Linked DNA regions of Macaca fascicularis. The protein of the gene in region 1 purifies or fractionates together with the protein of each later gene. This does not show direct contact. Links are inferred from orthologs where the notes say so. Each region holds a gene or a part of one and is shown on either strand. Other genes may lie near its edges.

The links.
Region 2: the proteins of ABL2 (region 1) and RIN1 purify together in Homo sapiens (co-immunoprecipitation; 3 studies listed by BioGRID and IntAct, counting the BioPlex papers as one, with this or other methods). This does not show direct contact. The link is inferred for Macaca fascicularis from reciprocal best matches to the Homo sapiens genes ABL2 and RIN1.

The regions. Positions count from the first base shown.
Region 1 is NC_088375.1:36,734,612-36,745,578, reverse strand, and holds the start of ABL2 (tyrosine-protein kinase ABL2), read left to right. Parts: upstream 1-4,409; 5' UTR 4,410-4,677; coding exon 4,678-4,834; intron 4,835-10,967. UniProt on the Homo sapiens protein: Non-receptor tyrosine-protein kinase that plays an ABL1-overlapping role in key processes linked to cell growth and survival such as cytoskeleton remodeling in response to extracellular stimuli, cell motility and adhesion and receptor endocytosis.
Region 2 is NC_088388.1:8,062,061-8,073,332, reverse strand, and holds RIN1 (ras and Rab interactor 1), read right to left. Parts: upstream 6,697-11,272; 5' UTR 6,662-6,696; coding exon 6,576-6,661; exon of another isoform or gene 6,550-6,575; intron 6,438-6,549; exon of another isoform or gene 6,432-6,437; coding exon of another isoform or gene 6,418-6,431; coding exon 6,237-6,417; intron 6,135-6,236; coding exon 6,020-6,134; intron 5,941-6,019; coding exon 5,868-5,940; intron 5,757-5,867; coding exon 5,665-5,756; intron 5,516-5,664; coding exon 4,778-5,515; intron 4,463-4,777; coding exon 4,157-4,462; intron 3,897-4,156; coding exon 3,765-3,896; intron 3,649-3,764; coding exon 3,497-3,648; intron 2,996-3,496; coding exon 2,519-2,995; 3' UTR 2,308-2,518; downstream 1-2,307. Other genes in the region: BRMS1 (breast cancer metastasis-suppressor 1), read right to left, coding at 8,141-8,148, 8,507-8,546, 8,991-9,055, 10,389-10,481, 11,041-11,137, 11,234-11,272. UniProt on the Homo sapiens protein: Ras effector protein, which may serve as an inhibitory modulator of neuronal plasticity in aversive memory formation. Can affect Ras signaling at different levels. First, by competing with RAF1 protein for binding to activated Ras.

The DNA.
Region 1 (10,967 bases):
CGAGACTTTTACTAGGGAGAATATAATTACTGCAAAAGTCATAGCTAAAAGGGATACATCTCAGAAATAGGCTAATTGGATAAAGCATGTATGCCTGCCATAGGAGGGGTGGAGGTTGGAGGAACAGGAGACGGAAGAACATTAGGCAATTATAATCCAGGTTATCCTGGAAAATAACTTCGAAACACTAGGTGAAATGTCTATTTTATTTGAAACAGAGACTCCCTCTGTCACCCAGGCTGGGGGGTGCAGTGTCGCAGTCTCCTCTCACTGCAACTTCTGCCTCCTGGGCTCAAGCAATTCTCCTGCCTCAGGCTCCGGAGTAGCTGGGATTATAGACGTGTGCCTCCAAGCTCAGCTAGTTTTTGCACCATGTTGGCCTGGCTGGTCTCAAACTCCTGACCTCAAGTGATCCGCCCACCTTGGTCTTCCAAAGTGCTGGGATTACAGACATGAGCCACTGTGCCCGGCCTGTTAGGTGAAAATTTTAGACTTAGACTTTGTACATAATGAAGGAGAGGAAGAATGTGGTCAAAGCTACGAGAGAAGTAGTTTCTGTTGAGTGAGTTGCTTGGTGCTAAAGGTAAGGAGTCTCTAGGAAGAAAGGGCTAGTAGCAGGAGAAACCAGCACAGCGATGACTTGAGCCTAAGCTAACACTGTGTCTTACATAATGCTGTTTATACAGATGAAGAGGTAGATATGAGAGACACTGTAAAACCGTAAAAAGTATGGCAATAGCCTAGAAACACAGACCGGTGAAGTCAGGGATTAGTGAGGCATTACAGCTCCTTCCTTCTGGAAAGAGTGGTATTGCTCCTGTAATAAGGATGATGAGGATGAAGAATATCTGTGTCTTCAGCACGCCTTGTTGCTGTTGGTGATGTGTCTGATCTTTTATGCTGGCCTCTGGCCATTGCTCACATAAGGCTGTCCCTGTGCTATGTGCACCATCTCTGCTACTTTCTTTCCCTGATTTCGGCCCCTGCCTGGAGCTCTCAGCTCTCTCAATTCAGTCTAAAACAGAATATTTGGGATTATTTTGGATGTTGAGTTGTTGTGGCAGTAACCGCTGCTTATGGTAATGAACCTTAGGTAATTCTCAGGCAAGTCACTTTGGCTTGCTTATACTGAGGTGAAATAGTTTCCTGTACCTAATTAACCAAGTCTCTCTAGTCTATTTCCCTACTCTCCCTATTCTGAAAGTTCTCTTCACTTTAAAAATGAAAGAGTAGAGCTGGGCACCATGGCTCACACCTATAATCCTAGCACTTTGGGAGGCTGAGGTGGGTGGATTGCCTGAGCTCAGGAGTTCGAGAACAGCCTGAGCAACAACAGTGAAACCCTATCTCTACTAAAATACAAAAAAGTAGCCAGGCGTGGCGGCGTGTGCCTGTAGTCCCAGCTACTCGGGAGGCTGAGGCAGGAGAATTGCTTGAACCTGGGAGGCAGAGGTTGCAGTGAGCAGAGATGGCGCCACTGTACTCCAGCCTGAGACTCTGTTTCCAAAAAAAAAGAAAGAGTAGAAAACGCTGGCAAGATAATGGATGTAAACTAAGTTTCCACTTACATAGTTGCTTTAGTCTATATAGGATCTTAAGAATCAACGGTAGAGGAAATCTTCATATGTAAAACAAAGGTATTATGTAATACTTCACGTATACTTTGAAGGTGTTACCCAGGTAGGTATGACGAATAAAGGGATTATATGATTCTACAAGTTTTTATTGGTTGGCTGGTGTTTTTGTTTTTAGTTATATACAGGGTGGCAGGTAGAGGGGGCTCACCTGAATAAATACTTTATAATTTGTCCCATGATCTAAGTATATATACATATATATATATAATTTGAAAAAGTTAGGCTTGTAAAACCTAAAATCATTATGTTTTTTGTATTAATAGTATATGCATATATGACACTAGTTATATGCCAAATGTTGTTTTAAGTACTGTATATATCTATAGACTAATTTAATTTTCACAATATTCCTATAAGGTAGATACTGTTTGTTATCATCATCAGTTTACAGGTAATGTACTGAGACACAAAAAGGTTATGTGCTTTGCCCAGATCAAATAGTTCATAAGTATCAGGGCCGAGTGATGAACCCAAGCAGTCTGGCTTCAGAGTCCCTGCCCTTAGCCACTGCACTCTACTACAGGCTGAGCATCCCTTATCAGAAATGTTCAGACCACAAGTGTTTCAGATTTGCGAATATTTACATACACATAATGAGATATCTTGGGGATGCGACCCAAGTCTAAACACAAAATTCATTTATGTTTCATATATACCTTTATAGACATAGCTTGAATGTAATTTAATACAATATTTAAAAAATTTTGTGCATGAAACAAAGTTATGTTAAGTACTTATGTGTGAAATGTTCCACCTATGGCGTCATATTGGTGCTCAAAAAATTTTGAATTTTGCAGCATTTTGGATTTTGGATTTTCAGATTTGAGATGGTGAACCCATATATTCACCTATTTTTTTTTTTTTTTTTTTTTGAAACGGAGTCTTGCTCTGTCACCCAGGCTGGAGTGCAGTGGCCGGATCTCAGCTCACTGCAAGCTCCGCCTCCCGGGTTTACGCCATTCTCCTGCCTCAGCCTCCCGAGTAGCTGGGACTACAGGCGCCCGCCACCTCGCCCGGCTAGTTTTTTTGTATTTTTTAGTAGAGACGGGGTTTCACCTTGTTAGCCGGGATCGTCTCTCGATCTCCTGGCCTCGTGATCCGCCCGTCTCGGCCTCCCAAAGTGCTGGGATTACAGGCTTGAGCCACCGCGCCCGGCCATATTCACCTATTTTTATATAGTATGCATGAATTAGCAGAGAAACCAAACCATTACCCCCAAATTAAAATTTTCTCCCATGATGAAAATCAAACAGTGAACCAAATTCTGGCTCTGTGACATCTTTATCCCTTGTGAATGAATTTTTTTCAGTAGTTGCAAACACTGGGAATTAGAAGAAAAGAAAGGTATTTTAAACACAGGGAAATTTTAATCCAAATGGAAAATTCATATTTTATCCAGTGTTTACACATAGTGTTTCCGGAAGTTCCCATTTTGGAGGTAATTTCAGTTATTTCTGGCCACACCCTGGATGGCAATGGAATAATTTCATAGTGCTTTTATAACAGGCAATATCTACGTCAGTGGATGGTTCATCTAAGTTCAACCTGGTTCAGGAAAGATATGCAAAGGAGAGCTCCATCCACCTCCTCTCCCAACCCTACCTTTCCAGTGGTTGTTTTGTTCCTTCTTTGCAGTGGCTCCCGTCCTGTCTAATTTAAGCAAAATTTCAGTGTTTTTTTTTTTTTTTTTTTACCTCCATTAACTTATACTTTTCATAAAGCAAATTGGGAAGCCAAAAGAATAACAGGAGAATGATCGAGCTTTTTGAGAATTAAAAAATTTGAATTAACATTAAGATGCAAGTAAGCACCGTGGGAGAGGGGCATGGCGAGTCAATTGTATATAGTATACGTGTGTGTATAAAACACTTCTTTCCTGCCTCATTCACCCTCTTTAGACCGCATAAGCTAACATGAGTAAGTTCTGACTCAGAAACAGGGTCAAAGATGTATATTTTTTCTCCTTTGTCATCAAAAGAAGACCTGACCACGTGCACAGTGTATAAAGGATGCCAGTGGGAAGATTAACTTTACTGTCAGGCATTGTAAGGGAAACAGAAACTCACATGTGGTGAGATAGGAGTTCAAGAGGAATTCATGGTAATATAATATGAGGAATGGGGCTACAATTGCGTCCCCAATGAGACTATAGAAGGCACACAATCCAGGCGAGTGCGATTTAACATCATGAAATAATCTCCAAAAATTAAAATCAAATAAGGTAGCATTTTACTCTCTTCTTGTAAATTTTATACCATTTTAATTTTTACTGGAGGCCTGCTGCTGACAAGGGTATTTAAAGGGATCCCCCTGGGCATTTCAGAGATCCTCAACTGGATGGCAAGGACCAAATAAATGCCTTGTGCTTTTCTGCCCCACCTGTGCCTGCACCTGAGGGGCGCACGCGGGGGCACTCAGCCCTCGACTCACTGATTTGACAGGTGGAAGTGGGATGGGGAAGGCCGGAGACCGACCAACCCCAAAGGCAGTAGCGTGTGGAGCCGAACGTGGGAGGGGGTCGGCTGAGGCGGATTGAGGGGTGGGATGCCGAGGTGCGGCGACAGGACTCGGAGGACGAAAGACTGCAGCAGCGGTGGTCGCCAACTGAGGTGGGCACTGGGGGACCCACCCTGCGAAGAGGCGGGGGCGGGGGCGCGGCGCGGCAAGGCGGGGCGGCAGCCGGGAAGCCCTCCTTCCCAGCGGCGGAGGTGACTGGCGGGCGGGGGGCGGGGGGCGGGAGACGCTCTGTCCCACGCTTTCCCAGCGCTCGGTGGTTTAAAGATGGCGGCGGCGGCAGCGGCGGCGTTTGGGGCGCGGAGCCGCGGGAGGAGGAGGGAAAAGCAGAATCTGTGAGTCGCCTGGAGGCAGTGCGGCGGCTGCCGTGAGGAGTCCGGGTGCGGAGCCGCCGGCGCCCCAGCCTCTCAGGGCCAGGGTCTGGGCTGGGAGGGAGAGGCCGGAGCAGCGCCAGGAGCCCGAGGCCGGAGTCGAGGAGGAATGTGACCAGGGGTCGGCGGGGGCGCGGGAGTACGCGAGAGCAGGGATGGGGCAGCAGGTGGGCCGCGTCGGGGAGGCTCCGGGGCTCCAGCAGCCTCAGCCCCGCGGGATCCGGGGCAGCAGTGCAGCCAGGCCCTCCGGCCGCAGGCGGGACCCGGCGGGGCGCACCACAGAGACCGGCTTCAATATCTTCACCCAGCATGGTGAGTGTGTCCGGGAGCCGGCGTGAGGGCGTGCGGGAGGCCGGGGGTGGGGTCGGGGCGGGGTGGGTGACGGACGGGCTGCCCGGGGGGTCGGGGGTGGAGGGTGCCTGAGAGTGGGGGCGGAATCTGCTGCCATCTGGTTCAGTCCTGGGAGGCGAGTCACACCCCTCCCCCCTCGCGTCTCCAGCTTGGCTGGCAGATCCCGGGGGCGGAGAAGGAAAGAGAAGTGGGCTTGGGGACCCTGGATGGTCTGTCCTCTACTCTGGGACGGGACTATGCGGCTGGAGAAAGAGAGTGAATGGCAGCTTCAGGAGAGGGAAGGATGAAGGGCAGTATGAGCTCAGTCCCAGAGGTGGGAGCATAAACCCGTCGTTAGTGAAGGGGAAATGGGTTGTGTCCTAAGGGACTGGGAAATAGGAACCGAATTTCAGGAGATTGTGGCGTAGAAGGTAATGTGTTTACGTCAGGTGATGAGCAGTGTCACGATAGTGAACTGTGGAGTGCCCAGAAATGCCTTTCTGTAGGAAAGATGAAGGTAGCATCTCATCACTTTTGACATGCTTTTGTGGTTTGTTTTGTTTTGTATTTCGTTTTTACTAGAAGTGAAAGGCTTTGCCAAAGCCTCTGTACTATGCTTCAGAGTAGGACACACAATTCTGAGATTGCTGGCAAGGGTTAGAGGTTGGTGGGCATGGTTAGGACTTCAGTCAGTATTTTTCCCCTTCGTAGTGTGTGTGTGTTCGCGTGCCCATATACATACTTACATGTATGTGTGCTCCCTGTAGTCTGAAACCTATTATTTTGATCTCATTGTCAATGTATTTTTAGAATAGTTGTCTCCAAACTGTTGTTGTTTTTTTTTTTTTTTTGAGACAGAGTCTCGCTTTAGTGCGCATTATGGAGTGCAATGGCGGGACCTCGGCTCACTGCAGTCTCCGCCTCCCGGATTCAAGTGATTCTCCTGCCTCCCGAGTAGCTGGGACTGCAGGTGCGCACCACCACGCCTGGCTAATTTTTGTATTTTTGGTAGAGACGGGGTTTTGTCATGTTGGCCAGGCTGGTCTCGAACTCCTGACCTCAGGTGATCCGCCTGCCTTGGCCTCCCAAAGTGCTGGGATTACGGGTGTGGGCCACCTTTCCTTGCCGCAACTCTTTTTTTTTTTTTTTTGAGACAGAGTCTCATTCTGTCACCCAGGCTGGAGTGCAGTGGCACGATCTTGGCCCACTGCAACCTCCGCCTCCCAGGTTCAAGTGATTCTCCTGCCTCAGCCTCCTGAGTAGCTGGGATTACAGGCGCCCGCCACCATGCCTGGCTAATGTTTTGTATTTTTAGTAGAGATGGGGTTTCACTATGTTGGCTAGGCTGGTGTGGAACGCCTGACTCATGATCCACCCGCCTCAGTCTCCCAAAGTGCTGGGATTACAGGCATGAGCCACTGCGCCTGGCCACATGTCTCCTATTAAAGATGTGCTTGAGTGTCTCTTTCAGGTATATGAACACTTTGTGAAGGTGATATATGAGCTAATCTTTATTAAAATGACTTCCTAAAACATAGGATGGAAGAATGGATTAGTAGTTTACAGGGAAGAAATCATCCAAGTAAGCTTCACTTTGTGGGAAGTGTTACTATGCATTAAACTTGGCCTAGTAGGCAGTGATGATCCTCCTCCTCTACTATCTTATTCGGTATATAAGATTTTCCAAGAAAGAGGAAGTAGTGAAGAATGGAATAGGAAGACATTTTGAGGATTTGGATCCATGGAGAGGGAGAACAGGTTGGGCAGAAGAAACAACTTGAGCAAGAACATGGGAATAGATATAATTTGATGATAGGATAGTGAGGAGACATCTGTCAGGAATGAAGCATCATTATGAGTTGGAAGAAAAAGATCATAGAGCAAAAATTGGAAGAGTCGAGTTCTGGTTCTGGCTCCACCTGGCTGGGTGATTTTAGTCACCATCTTTGGGTTTCTTTATCTGTAAAGTGAGGAGGTTGGACTGGATGATCTCTAAGATACTTTCTGATTTTAAGATTTTATGATTCTAATTAAGAAGCAGTAGAAAGAAAATTTTGATAGGCTGGATGGGACTGGGTTATGGAAAATCTGGCAGAGAAGTTTATATTCGTTTACCTGCTTGGCTAGTCTTCACCTGAAAGACTGGCCTTGAGTGGTGGCAGTGGAAATAGGAGGAGTAATTTCAAGGGGCCTTTCATTCATTCAACAAACAAGGGGTTTTTTTGAGCACCTATTACATACTAGGTTGTGGGAATGTTGCTGTGAACATAACAGAGTCCCTGCCCTTTGGAACTTAAAGGACTTTATGATTTGATAGAGGATGAAAGAAGAGAGATCACTTTGGAGTATTTGTTAAGGGCATGAACTCTGGACCCATTTTTCCTGGATTTGAAACCTTGCTTGGCTGCTTATGAGCTTTGTGACCTGGGACAAGTTATTTAACTTTTTTGTGCCTTGGACTCTTCATTTGTAAAGTGGTGATAATAATAGTATCTAGTATTAAATGAATAGTGGCTGGGCACGTAGTATGAGCTAAATGTGTGCTAGCTGCTGCCATTACTAATACTACTGTTATTATTAAAAATAGGGATAATTCAGCTGGGTGCGATGGCTCATGCCTGTAATCCCAGCACTGTGGGAGGCCGAGGTGGGTGGATCACGAGGTCGGGAGTTTGAGACCAGCCTGAGCAACATGGTGAAACCTTGTCTGTACTAAAAATACAAAAATTAGTTGGGCATGGTGACACGTGCCTGTAGTACTAGCCACTCAGGAGATTGAGACAGGAGAATCACTTGAACCCGGGAGGCAGAGGTTGCAGTGAGCCAAGATCGTGCCACTGCACTCCAGCCTGGGCGACACAGCAAGACTCTGTCTCAAAAAAAAAAAAAAAAAAAAAATAGGGATAATTCAAAGATGACACCAGGATTCAGAACCTGGCTAACTGGAATGATGATGATTCTATTGACAAGTTTGGAAGTTAGAAGCTGATTGAAAAAATGGGAATAGGGCAAGTTTATTGCCAAAGACTAGTATGAAAAGAAAGGAATTAGCAAATAATATAGGAAACAAAGATGAAGTGAGTACTGTTTTTTAGACAGATGAGTTTTAAAACTTTTTTTCTGTAGATCATAGTTTCTTAACCTTGCCGGCATTGTTATTTTGGGTTGGCTAATTCTGTGTTGTGGGGGGCCGTCTTGTGCATTGTAGGATGTTTAGCAGCATCCCTGGACTCTACCCACTAGATGCCAGTAGCACCCTCTTTTTGCCCCTTACTTGTCACAAGTAAAAATGCCTACAGACATTGTTCAATCTCTTGGGGGGAGTGGAATTGCCCCTAGTTGAGGACACCACTTAGAAATGTGATAGATTCTGAACTGAATGAATGAATGAACTAGATTCATAAGCTTCTCAGTGGATGTATCATTTGACATTAACATGGTAAATCTAGATGCTCGAATCTAGTGTACAAATTACTGTCTTGAGTTTGCAGTATTAAGGTATTAGCACATAATTTCATATATGAACGTTAGGTCTGTTAGACTCCTGAGGTTTTTTTTGTAGGTTTTAATGTAAGCCAAATAATACATTTAGTTAATCAGTAAAAAGGTACATGCATTATGGAAATGGTTTGTCAGAGTCCAGGACTTTTCTTTCTTTAGCTAAAATGGTCATTTTTCATTGTTAATAATATGTGGGTAAGCTGTGGTGATAATTGGCCTTGCCAAAAGTGATTTTTGTGAATATACTTTAGAAGGAACAAAATAGGGCCGTTTTTGGTATGAAAGGAGTGAGTGCTGTGTGACTTTTCTGAGCTCTGCTATTTTTTTTTTTTTGTAAACACTTACTTTTATTTATGTTTTATTTTAGAGAAAAGTCTTGCTCTGCCACCCAGGCTGGAGTGCTGTGCTGCGATCATAGATCACTGCAGCCTTAAACTCCTGGACTCAAGTAATCCTCCTGCCTCAGCCTCCCGAGGAGCTGAGACTACAGGCACATGCTACCACACCTGGGTAATTTTTTGTATTTTTTTTTTTTTTTTTTTTGTAGAGACGGAGGTCTCACTATGTTGCTCAGCTGTTCTCAAACTCCTAGGCTCAAGTGATACTCTGCCTCAGCCTCCCAAAATACTGGGATTATAGGTGTGAGCCACCGCGAGAGGCAAGCTCTGCCATTAAACCTTTTTGGTGAGCTGATGTTTTGTGACTAATAATCTAGGGTTGAATACTTACTTGTCTGTATCACATATATCTTTTAACAGTTGAATGATTTTACTTCAGCTTCCGTCTCTCATTTTCTAAAAATTCTATTAAAATTTAACATTAGGCTGGGCACAGTGGCTCACACCTGTAATCCCAGCACTTTGGGAGGCTGATGTGGGTGGATCACCTGAGGTCAGGAGTTCGAGATCAGCCTGGCCAACATGGTGAAACCCCGCCTCTACTAAAAAAATACAAAAATTAGCCAGGTGTGGTGGCGGGCACCTGTAATCCCAGCTACTTGGGAGGCTGAGGCAGGAGAACCCCCTGAACTCAGGAGGCAGGGTTTGCAGTGAGCCGAGATCGTGCCACTGCACTCCAGCCTGGGCGACAGAGCAAGACTCCCTCTCTAATAAAACAAACAAACAAACAAACAAAAAACCTTAAATTATGAAGTTTGGAATAACAAAAATTTTTCCTTAAACTCATTATTTTAAGTGATCTGATTTATTTATTTATTTATTTTATTTTGGATCTGTGTTTTTTTTGTTTTTTTTGTTTTTTTTTTTGTAGTGAGGTAGGGTCTCACTCTGTTGCCCAAGCTGGAGTGCATTGGCGAGATAATGGCTCACTGCAGCCTGGGACCTCCCAGGCTCAAGTGATCCTGTCACCTCTCAGCCTCCTGAATACCTGGGACTGTAGGTGTGTGCCACCATGCCTTTCTCTCTCTGTCTCTTTTTTTTTTTGGTAGAGAGAGAGTTTTGCCATGTTGCCCATGCTGGTTTTGAACTCCTGGGCTCAAGTGATCTGCCTGCCTTGCACTCCCAAAGTTCTGGGATTACAGGTGTGAGCCACCACACCCGGCCAGTAGTTCATGTGGAATGAAGGCTGTCAGCACCCCAGGTTGAAAACGATACTATGGAAAGGACAGGAAGGCTGTTGCAAGGGAATTTTAATTATGGTGACTTAATATAAGAACTAAACTTCATTTTTTATTTTTATTTATTTTTATTTTTTTCTTGAGCACCAATCCTGAAGACTAAACTTTTAAAAATAAGTCAGCTGTTAGATTTTTATTAACCTCCAAATCTGTGTAAGTTATAGATGTGTAGTGGGGGTCCGTATTTTTAGCAAAGTAGTAAGTTGTAATACAGATTCTGTTATCGTAGCCCAGTTGGCAGTAAAATTCCAAGTAAAGTGATGAAGTCTGAAGTTTCTCCATAAGGGTCTTCAGCCTGCTTTATTCAATAGTTTATTTATTTACTTAGGTGGGTTTTTTTTTTTTTTTTTTTTTTTTTGAGACAGGATCTTGCTCTGTTGCCCAGGCTGGAGTGCTGTGGTGTGATGATAGCTCACTGTAGCCTCAAACTCCTGGCTGAAGCCATTCCTGACTCAGCCTTCTGGGAAGTTGGGACTATAGGTGTGTGCCACCATGCCTGGCTAACTTTTAAATTTTTCTGTAGAGACGGGATTTTGCTGTACTGCCCAGGCTGGTCTTGAATTCCTAGGCTCAAATGATTCTCCCACCTTGGCCTCCCAAAGTGCTGGGATTACAGGCATGAGGCCCTGCATCTGGGGCCTCATTTCTTTTTTTTTTTTTTTTTGAGAGGGAGCCTTGCTGTGTCTTCCAGCCTGGAGTGCAGTGGCGTGATCTTGGCTCACTGCAACCTCCACCTCCTGGATTCAAGCAATTCTCCTGCCTCAGCCTCCGGAGTAGCCGGGATTACAGGCAGCTACCACCACGCCCGGCTAATTTTTGTGTTTTATTAGAGATGGGGTTTCACCATGTTGGTCAGGCTTGTCTTGAACTCCTGGCCTCGAATGATCCACCCCCCTCAGCCTCTCAAAGTGTTGGGATTACAGGCGTAAGCCACTGTGCCTGGCCTTTGTTGTTGTTGTTGTTGTTGTTGTTTTAAAG
Region 2 (11,272 bases), on another chromosome or scaffold:
AGACGGGTTTTCACCATGCTGGCCAGGCTGGTCTCGAACTCCTGACCTCAGATGATCCACCCGCCTCGGCCTCCCAAAGTGCTGGGATTACAGGAGTGACCCACCAGGCACAGCCCAGAGTTTCTTGAGAAGAAAAACCACAAGACCCAGGCAGCAGCAGCCCCCTGTGGTGCTCCATCACTGGCGAGGGCAGGGAGGGGGTCAGGTCATGCTGAGCCTGGCAAGGGTGGGAAGGGCTTGCAGAGGCCCCAGAGCCTCATTCCCAGGAGACCAGCTGTACATCCGGCCCCTGGGATCCTCTGAGCACCCTCTACAAACATTCCACGTCCTTCTGAGCACCCTCTACAAACATTCCACGTCCTTCCTCTGGGACTGACCTTGACACATCCTGTGTTTGATTCCCAGTACCCAGCCCTCCCTTATACTCCCCAGGTTTCTGCCTCACTGTCCCTCACTCCTAGTTATCAAACTCCAATCCGTGAACAATATTTATTGAGCGCCTATGGCATTTGTACACAGCATTGGACTGTGCGAGGCACTAGGGGTGAGTGGTGAAACAGAGAGGGAGGACAGAAGAGCTAACGGGACACTTCCTCTCAGTGAGAAGCTTGGGAGGGCATGGAAGTGGGAAGAGAAGAGCTGCCGTTGGCCTAGTGACAAATTTGGGAGCCCTGCAACTGGGCTGTATCTGGACTGCTCATCTGAAAGCCAGTGACTGGCGGGGTGCGATAGCTCATGCCTGTAATCCCAGCACTTTGGGAGGCCAAGGTGGGTGGATCACCTAAGGTCAGGAGTTTGAGACCAGCCTGGCCAACATGGGGAAACCCCATCTCTACTAATAATACAAAAATTAGCCAGGTGTGGTGGTGCACATCTGTAGTCCCAGCTACTTGGGAGGCTGAGGCAGAAGCATCATTTGAACCGGGAGGCAGAGGTTGCTGTGAGCCGAGATCATACCACTGCACTCTAGCCAGAGCGACAGAGCAAAACTCCATCACAAACAAACAAACAAACAAACAAAAAAACCCAAAAAGGCAATGTCCACAATTTCTACCTCCCAGTTGTCATGTCTGACAATGTGGGCTGATGTCCCTCTGTGCTCAGTGCCTGAGGAGAGAACCTCTGGGGTCGTCCTCCACGGGGGGACAATTCCTTCCTTCCTGGGGATGGCCCACGAGAGGCTGGCCTTACCCAGACCCCAGAACCTAAGGGACCTGGGGGCCAGCAGCCTCGGTCCCTGCACTGTCCCCAGGTTGCCTGACGCTGCCAGGGACCCCCTGTGCTGCTACAACCTTGGAGGCGCCCTCACCTCTGGGTACCGTGAGCATTGTGTGGCCAGCTTCCCTCTCGGCAGCTTCCCTGGCCATGCACGCCCCCTCGTGGTTGGTCGTCGGCACTTTTCCTTGTTTGGATTTGCTACCTGCTCTGGGCTTCCTTGGGGGCTGCCCCGGCCTTTGTGGGTGACTTAGAATGGAGGGTGGAGTTGGAACCTGCTGCCCTGGTTTGCGTGGGGGAGCCTGTAAGGACTTGCTGTATGACATCCTGGGAGTCACTTTCCTGAACCTCAGTGGGCCCAACAAGCCACGGCCAGGTAAAGCTTTTGTGACGGCCAAGAGTTTAGTGCAGAGAGCATGGTTTCTGAGCCCCCTCTCCATTCTGGAAGCTTATCTGCCAGCTGGTGTATCTCCCCAGAGATGCTGGAGGGCCTGGGAGGACTCCAAATCTTGGGGAGAGACTGTAACTTGGGTACTTTCTCCCCAGGGCCTGATTTCCGGGGGAATAACCTCCTATAACTAGGTGTCAGCAGATGGGAGCCCTGTCTGGCAGAGAGTAGATTCCAGGAGAGAGTTAGCAGCCCAGCTCTCTCCTTCCCTTTCTGCCATGAGCTCTGCTTGTGCAAAATCACCCATTTTGATCACTGAAACACTTCTGGGAACCGAGCAGGGCAGCAATAGTGTCCCCACTTTACAGATGAGAGTACTGATGCTTGCAGGTGCAGGTCCTTCGGGTGTCCAGGACAGGGGTGGGCTCTGAGCCTTTGTTGCTGTTCCGTGGCCTTTCTAAATCCTCCTGACACCTAGGAGCCATTGGAACCTTTTAGGGTCTGGAAGTCTCAGCCTGGTGGGGGCTACTGGGGTGGAGCCCTGACTCAGTCACGCCCATGGGGGGAAGGGTAAAAGGAGCCGAGACTGTTACCCTCCCCATGTCAGAGGTTGGGCATCCATCAGATTCGCCCCCACTTGGCACACTCCCCATTGCAGGCTGGCTCACCCTCAGCTGGGTGAGAAGAACAAGAGGCAAGGGGCCTTGGGCACACAGTCTGGGGGTCCCCCGAGCCCCCTCATCTTTATTCCAGTTCCTCAGATGTGGCAGTTCCCTCAGCTTCCCTGGAGACAAGTATCAGACAAAGGTGGTGGCAGACACTGGACAGGGCCCTGGGTGGGGCTGCTGGCGCTAAAAGGACTTCTCAGCAGGCGCAAGGTCTCCCGCCCCAAACGACCCTTCTGGCCACTTCAAGCTACTCCTCTGCTGCCCGGCTTCCCTCTGCCTCTGGCTCCCCTGGCTGAGCAGGGCCTTCACGGGCTCGACCCTGGCCCCCTTCAGCAGTTGTGTCAGACTCTTCCCGAGTGTCCCTGGGGCTGGCTTTGACCCCAGCGTCCTCATCTCCCTGGCACCCTTGCTCCTCCCCTCTGCTCCTTGCCTCTGACTGCCCTCTGCCCTCCTCCTCTGTTGCAGCCTCCTGGGTCTCAGGCCACTCTGCCCGGCGGTAGACAAGGTAGCCAGTGGTGGGCAGCCTGCGGGCCAGGGCTCCAGGGGGCAGGCGGTGGTAGCCCTGGTCCTTGTACAGGAAGAGGCCAAAAGTGTTGGGCTGTGTCACTCGGAACTTGGTGGCACAGAGCTGGTTCAGGGTGGCGATCGAGGCCTCTGGGGGCACGGCCAGGGTCTTGGAGGTGCAGCCACTGCTGGGATCCTGATAGGCTACTCGGAGGAGGTGCTATGCAGGAGGAGAAGCAAAAACAAGTACTCAGCCCTGACTGGCATGCATCTGGCTCCAAAGCTGAGGGACCAGTGTGGGCTGTGCAGGGACAGGGTGGGGAGGTGGAAATCCAGTGGGAGAACCAAGTGGCAAAAGCTCTGTGAGCTCCAGGGGTCGGCTTGTGGGCCACAGTTGAAGGTGCAGGACAGCCCAGTGGGGAGCTCACAAGCCTGAGACGAAGCTTTGATAGTGCACACTTTGTGCCCCAAGTACTCTCCTGCATTAACTCATTTAATCTTTACCTCAACCCCACGAGGTAGGTCCTATTACCCCATTGTACTGATGAGAAAACTGAGGCACAAAGTAGTTAAGTAACTTGCCCAAGTCCCCACAACCCAGTGGCAGAGCTGGGATTAGAACCCGGGATCTGGCTACAGAGTCTGGACTCTTCACCAAGGACAGGAAGGTGAAAGGCGGGGATGGTGTCTGGCTCTGAGGACACGGTGGAGGGCCTGTTACCTGGAAGCAGTGGGTGGCAGGCAGGCGGCGCTGCTCCCAGAGGCTGAGGGAGCGCCGTAGCTCCTGCGAAGGACTCAGTGGGAGGGTATGGGCCTGACCCAGGCCACTCAGCAAGGCCAGGCTGGCAGACAGGCTGGTCAGGTAGTAGCCACCTGGGACACAGGGTGGAATAACACGGCTCAGGCTGGGTGTGGGGCACCCATCCCCTCTCCCCTTCCCTGCTTATTCAGGGCCCACCCAGGCAGGGAAGTGGGTGGGGGTCCCTCACCCTCTCCGGTGAGCAGGCTGGGCTCCAGCAGCTCTGACATGTACTCGGCCTCCAGCAGCAGCTCAGGAAGGTCACAGTGGGCCAAGACGAGGCTCAGCAGAGGCAGGAACTCGTCAGCACCCGCGTCCTCCCCTGTGGGGACATGGTGAGAGGAAGAAGCTTCAGGTGCAGTCCTTGCTTTAGGCAGTGACCCCTCCCCATGGCCTAGCAACCATGGCAGGGCTTCGGAGAGAACGCACTGCTCTCTGGGCCTCAGTTTCGCAATCTGCAAGATGGGAGGGTGGGCTCATTCTCTCCCGCAGGGCCATTCCAGGGTCCTGGGGACCTGCCACTGGGGGTCCCACCTCCAACTCAGAGGGGCAGGGCAGGGTGAGGTGGTGGCAGAGACATACCCTCCTGGGTCCTCAGGGCCATGTAGAGCAGCTTGCAGGCCTGCAGGAGCCGCTTCACCTGGGCGCTGGGTGAGTAGGTGCGGAGCAGCTGCAGCAACTTCTGGCGCACCTGCTCCATCTCTACTGGGGAGGGCAGGCTCAGGTGGGACCCAAAAGCTCCGGGACCCTGGGCCCGGGCCAGGCGGAGGCCCTCAGCTAGGCGGCCCAGGGAGCCGTCTGCGGCAAGCCGGCGCCGCACGCGGGCTGCCAGGATGGGCCGGAGAGGCTTGAGCACAGAGCGATGCAATGACTTCTCCAGGACATGTTCTGCCAGAGGAGGGGCAGGGAGGGGTCAGGGGAAGACTGGGGAGATGGGGGACAGAGGCCAGGGGAGATGGGGGACAGAGGCCAGGGGAGAAGGGAGCAGGGGTAGAATCGGGGAGGAGAGGCAAGGAAAGCAGGAGGAGGTAGCCTGGGTGAGACAGAAGAGTTTGGGGAGAGAGAGGATGGAACTCTCTCGAACAGTGGTAAGACAGGGTGGGTTTGTAAAGCAGCAGAACAGAATCAGACAGGCTGGCGCTGTGGAGGGGAGCAGAGGGTCGGATGGGGCAGTGCTGGAGCTATGGAGAGACGGAGCCTCACCCAGCCTTTTAGGCGGCAGCAGCTTCTCAGGGCCCAGCTCCACGCTCAGCATGGCCCGGGCCCGGCTCAGTGCCTGACGGATGCCCTGCAGCTCCTGGGGCTCAGGCCCGGCCCGCACCTGGGTCAGTAGGTCCTGCACCAGCTGGCCTGCGGCTGTGTGTCGGTCCTGCATCAGTGCCGCCGCGGCCCGGCCCACCTGCCGCTCCGGCGCCAGTAGGGAGCAGAAGGCGGCACTCATGGACCGAAGCAGAGGCCGCCGGCGGCCCAGGTGGGGTGAGGTCGCTGGGCTCCCCCGGGACCCTGGCGCCCCCTCCTCCTCGGAGCTGCTGGGGGAGCCGCAGTCCACCTCCTGGAGGGAGGGCATAGGCGGAAGGCTAGGGTCACCGCCTGCTGGCACGCGGTACCCCACTGAACTCTCCCTCCGCAGCAACTGGCAAGGGGGCAGCCGCTCTGTCTGGCTGGGGACTGCCCCTGGCAACACAGGGACCGGGGGAGGCGGCACGGCAGGTGGAGACAGGGGGCTGGAAGTCTCTGTGGACACGCGCACTTTGAAGCTTCTCTTGAATTTCTCCCGCTTGGTGGGCCCCAGGTCCCCCGGGAACAGGGGGTTGAAGAAGCACAAGGCGGCTCCGGTGCCCTGGTCCAGCTCTTGAGGGGACCGGGCCTTCAGCTGGGGCAACACTGGGCCTCCAGCCGGGCCCCGCTGAGCCTTGATGTTGAGGGAGGAGCTCCAGAACTCTAGGGAACAAGAAACCAACTGGGGCCTCCAGGATTGGTTAGGGGAAGTTTCCCAACCAAGGAAAGGCATGGGCTTCGGGCCGTGTGCTGCGAGCCTTCCCCTCCCCTCAGCCTTTTCATCTGTGCAATGGGTGGCAAGGAGCTCTTACCAATGCCCAGATGGGAGATGGCCTCCAGCTCTTTGTGGGTGGCTGCACGGTGGATGGCTCTGGGGAGCTGCAGCGGGAGGAGAAGGATGTCCCTGAGGCCAGAGAGGGGAGCAGAAGGGAGTGAGGGCCGAAGGGGGTGGGGAGGATGGGCTGTCCCAAGGAGCAGGGCCCGTGGACACCGGGCACCCTGCAGGCAGACTCACCGGGTGTGGCAGTAGGCACAGATGAGCTGGACTAGGTCTGGGAACATGAGCTCCGAGCCCTCCAAGGAGACGCCTGAGAGAGGAGGGAAGTGAGGTGCTTCTCTAGGGAACCTCCCTCCTTCCAGCCCCTTCCTGCCAGGCCAGCCCCTCACCGCCAGGGCTCTCCAGGATGTAGTGGCTGGAGACGAAGGAGGGGCCGCTGGCTTCGGGCAGTCGCATGCACAGGGCCTGGCACTGTCGGGTGTTAGATTTCCGCACGAGGAACGTCTGCAAGTGGATAGGGCTCAGGCAGCTCAGGACCTTGGCATTCCACCCTTCTCCCTCCCACCCCTGGCTGGCCAGTCCCTGGAGGTTGGGGGCAAGACTCACCCCCGGGGGCTCGGTCCTCAGCACGTGCAGTGCCGCGGCTGCGTTGGCTTGCAGCTGCAGCCACACAGGCCGGGTGAGCAGCAGGCGCTCCCGCAGGCTCACAACGCGTCCCGGCCGCTGTGGCCCGCCTGCCTGCCCGCCGCTGGCATTGGGCACGTCATACAGTGGGTCCTGGGCTGGCCTGAGGGCGGGCATCCAGATCTGAGCAGGGAGCCAGGGGCTGGGACCCTTGCTCTCCTCTTCCCCGCTCCCAGGTTTCCCACCTTCTCCATCCCCAGATAGACCCTCTTCTCGCAGCCCCTCCCTGCCCCACCTGGCTGCCCTGCCAACTTCACTAACTTTTCTGTCTCCAGGTGCCCAGGAGTGAAGCTGGATGGGCTGGGGGCTCCCGGAGGGCCCGTGCCTGACTCTCCAGGGCTTTCCATGGCTGGGAGCTCCTTCGGCTTCAGGAAGAGAATCCAACCCCAAGGCAAGGCACGCACATCCCCAGTGAGTAACACTTCCTGAGGGCGGTCCGCCTGTCACACCCGCCTGTTAACTCTTGTGTGTCCACCCCGCCTGGCCAGTGCCTGCCTCCTCTGTTCTGGACCCTGCTTCGGGGGTCAGGGATCCCCTCCGTGCTAGCCCTGCTCTGAGGGCCCCAGCTGGGGGGTGCCACCTCCACACAGGGCCTCCTGCAGCCTCACCAGCTCCTCAAATTGCACAGGTGGGCGGGAAGTGGTTAAACGGCCGACTCAGTCCCCGCAGGCCCCAGCCACACTCTGGGGGCACCTCTGGGTCTGTGGTCAGTTGCTCATCTGCCCCTGGCCTCAGGTCAGCCTTGTGGGAGAGCACCCTCTACTGTCCATAGATGACTCATTCCTGAACATGGGTTTTAGGATTTTAGGTTGCCATGGAGAAAATATGCCACGTCTCCATGGAAACCAACCTATTTGCTTAACTGAGGTTCTGGGGGTGGTTCTGACACTCAGCACTAACCAGGGGGAGTCTGGCTGTGAGGTCGTTAGCACATGGTGCTGCTGCCGGCTGCCTCCTACGCATGCAGGCTCTGCCAGCCTGCCTTGCCAATCTGCCAGGCAACTGGGACAGGTGCAGACATGACCCAGGCTTCAAGCACACGCACCCATCCTCCCCACCCGAGGCACTCCGCTGGCGCCATATGTTCTCTGCCCAGTGCCAGGCAGCCCAGCGCCCACCTCCCCCTCCCCAGTGTGGCCCCACGCACAGTGCTCCAGCCTCTGCTGGGCAGTGCAAGGAGTGGCAATCTGCAGGCACCTCAGAAGTCAGCCTGGTTCAGGTGCTCCCCACAGAAGCCCTGATTCTCTTGCAAGGTAAATCACACATACACGGGGCACACCAGAATCCCAGGAAAGGTTTTAATTCTAGTCCTTGAAATCTGAGAGGCAGACACCAAGAACTGCCCTGAGAAAACCTGGGGGGCCTGGCATCTCGCCTCCAGCCCCAGCCAGGGTGGACAGCCCCCCTAGATATCACGTCTGACTCAGAGTTCCTGCACAGTGGGGCCTGGCTCCCTGGCCCTGAGGCCGGAGAGCCTGCATCCAAGGTCAGCAAGAGGATGTGGCTTTGACTTCAGCTGTCTTCTCTGTCAGGGGAGCCCCAAGAGGCGGATCTTCAGGAGCGGGAGGTGGCAGGCGGCTCAGGGATGGAGACAGCAGCCTTGCCTGGCCAGGTCGGCTCCACAGCCACAGCTGTGCAGGCCTCGAGGAGGGCAGAGGAGGAGTCCAGGCCAGTGCCAGCGGAGTGGGAGGGCCCAGCAGCACCACAGGAGCCTGGCTGGGCAGACCCTGAGGGGCCTGTGGGTCTGCCTGTCTGCAGCAGGAAGATGAGAATCCTGGGTGCGGTGCCAGCTGCTCTGAGGGTCCCCCTGGCTCTGAACAGCAGGGTCACGGTCCTGTGCGTATGTGGGAAGGAGAAAACTGTCACCAGTGAGGAAGCTGAAAGGAGGGGGGCAGCCACTTACTGAGCGGAGTGACTTTGGGCTGGCCCAGGACAGGCCTCCTGGGCAGCTCCACGGCCCTCCCTGACCCCTCCTGAGTGGGAGCTCCATCAACCCAGGCTTCCCCAGCCCCATCCTGGTTCCTGCTCCTCAAACTCCCACAAGCCCCTCAAATCTAGACCATCCTAACTTTCTTGGGCCACTGATTCTGACACAGCCACAGCCTCTCTCTGGGCTCCTTCCTGGAGGCTGAGCTGAGGGAAGGTGATGGCAAGGCGGGCAGGGGAGGCCGTACAACAGCCATAGTTCTTACCATCCGATTTTCTCTTCTGAGGGGACACAGCTGCCCTAGCCTGGGTGGATGAGAAGAAAAGCCCCCCTGAGAGCCCACCTACAGCCTGGCAATCCCTGCCCCACCTCCCACCTCTGTGGCGTGTGGGCTGCTGCCTTAGTGCTATGCCCCCAGGGCCAGGAACATAGGGCCCCCCAAGCCAGAGCTCCCATGCTCCTGACCGCTGGCCAGCTCAACGGCTCTCCCGCCTCCCTGCCCCCCTCCCCCCTCCCACCCCATCAAAACCTGCCCTGGAACAGGAAGGGGCTGACACAGACTAGAAATCCCTTCTCCCAGGGCCGCCTTGAGCAAGAGGACTTGTGAGCCAACTGCGATCCAGGGACCCTGGGCTGAAGATGGGGGAGCCTTGGTGAGCAGAGAACTCCCAGGCCTGCAGATGGCAGAGCTGCTGCCAGGGTGGGGGGCCCTGAGGTGGGGCAGGGCACATGGGCAGCAGCGGCCCCACCTTTTTGATGGCCGTCCAGTCCTCCAGGATGTCGATCTCTTGAAGCATGTACACGATGTATGGGCCTGTGGTGGGGGTCAAGGAAGCCCAGTGGAGGCGGCAGGTGACGAGGGCAGGGCCACCCACCTGACATTCAGGAGTGGGGGTACAGCAGACAGCATGAAGTGGGAGCTGAGGATCTGGGTCCGAGCTCAGGTTCCACCTCCTACCTCTTCTCCCCCCAGTTCCAGGGTCCTCCTGGAACCAAGTCCATGGAGGACACCAAGTGTTGTTCCCCATCCCTTGCTCACCCTCACCTCGTCTTGAGGTCAGCTGGCTGAGGCCCATCCCATCTCACCCTGCAGCACAGCCCTGACCTGGCCCCTTCCCCGATCCAAAGACAGACGCAGGGCTTCTCCCTTCAGAGACAACTCCCCTTCCCCACAGTGCTCCCTACCTGATGTCTCCATGCCTTCACCTCTCATTCGCTCAAGTCACGGCCTTCCAGATTCCTCCCTCCCTGCCTGGGCCTGCTCTCCAGCACCAGGTGGCCATAATGACTAAGGCTGGCTGCTGCAGGAATGCCCTCAGGGGCACAGGAGGACTCAGCTCTGCCAGGACAGATGAAAGCACAGCAGGCCCTGGACTAAGCTTAAGCTAACCCTGCCTAGGGAGGGGCGGAGGCAGCTGGTGCCCTCTGGGATGTGGGCACCCCATGGTAGGGCACAGGAACACACAGGAGAGTGAAGCCATAGGCACTGGAGTAAGACCGGAGAGGCCTCACAGAGGAGGTAACGTTTGACATGAGCCCTGGACAGTCAGGACAGGCAGGACTTCCAAGAGGAGGGTGGGATATGAGCAAAGGCTCCCCAGGGAGAGCTGGGGACCCGCTCAGACAACCCCAGGAGATGGAAAGTCCTCAAAGGCCAAACCTCACTCAGGCTCGAGTGCAGTGGCACATCATGGCTCGCTGCAGCCTTGATCTCTCAGGCTCAAGCAATTCTCTTGCCTCAGCCTTCAGAGTAGCTGGGACTATAGATGCACACCGCCACACCTGGCTAATTTTTGCTAATTTTTCTAGAGACGGGTTTCACCATGTTGCCCAAGGTGGTCTCGAAATGAACTCCTGGGCTCAAGCAATCTACCTGCCTTGGCCTCCCAAAGTGCTCGGACTATAGATGTGAGCCACTGAGCCTAGCCCGTTTCTGTTTTCCTAGGGTCCACATAGCCCAGAGAGACCCAAGACCCTGTAAGAAATTGCTGACAGCTGGATTTGCCTGGACATGGTCACATGACACCAAGCAACCACAAGTGCATCTAGTGCGACTGTCCTCCATGTCCCCTCCAAACCTCTCCCCCAGGTCTGGAGGTGACCCTAACATCCTGCCACCTTTTAGGCCACCTTAGGTGAAAGGATACCAGAAACCAGAGGTGCCTTCTTCCTCTTGCTGGGCGGCAGGGAGTCCCAAGACCTGGAGCTGCCTCTGGCGTGCAGTTTGTCGTCCCACCATTCTGCCCCCAGACCCAGAGTTAGAACTGGGGTGCTGGCCCACAGGACACTCTCTCTTCTGTAGCCTCTGCCCCCACCATGGGCCAGCCTGGCCTCATATCCCCTGCCCCATCACAACCCTGGGCTTGGGGTAGGAAGCCCCTTAGGGCTGTTCAGGTCCTGCCCGCACAGCTGTGCAACCCCGGGAAGAGGCCGCTGCACTTCTGTGAGCCTCATCTGTTTAGTGGACAGTGGGATGACAATTCCTGCCACCCCAGGACTCCACATGAACACAGGTACTATGAACGTGGAGGGGACTAGAGCTATTGCATGGGACTGCATGTCACACTGATACCTGTTTTGGAAAGAGCAGGGGCAGAAGAGGGCAGGGAGACCCACTCTGCCCGAGCCCCTACTGTGTGCCAGGCCCTTTCCAGGCCTGGTTTCCTTCAGTCCTCACACTGACCCCAAGAGGCAGGTCCTCTGACTGTCCCCTTGACTTCAGGACATCTGAAGTCTAGAAAGGGGTGGGCGTTGACAGAGCCAAGCCCAGGGCCGGGGTGCCCGGGCTCTCGCGCTCACCAGAGCTGAGGTCCAGGCTCTGGCGGTCCTCCTCCAGCCTCTGGATCCGCTCCTGCAGCTCCCCCTGCAGTGTGTCATAGAGCAGCAGCTTCTCACTCTGGAAGAGGGGGCAATAGCTCAGCAGGACGGATGGGGAGAGCTCACTTCAGGCCTTGCGCCCCGCCTTGTCCCCAGTGTGCCCAATCAGGCCCACCTCCAGGTGCTGTTTGGCTCCCTGCAGCTCACATTCATA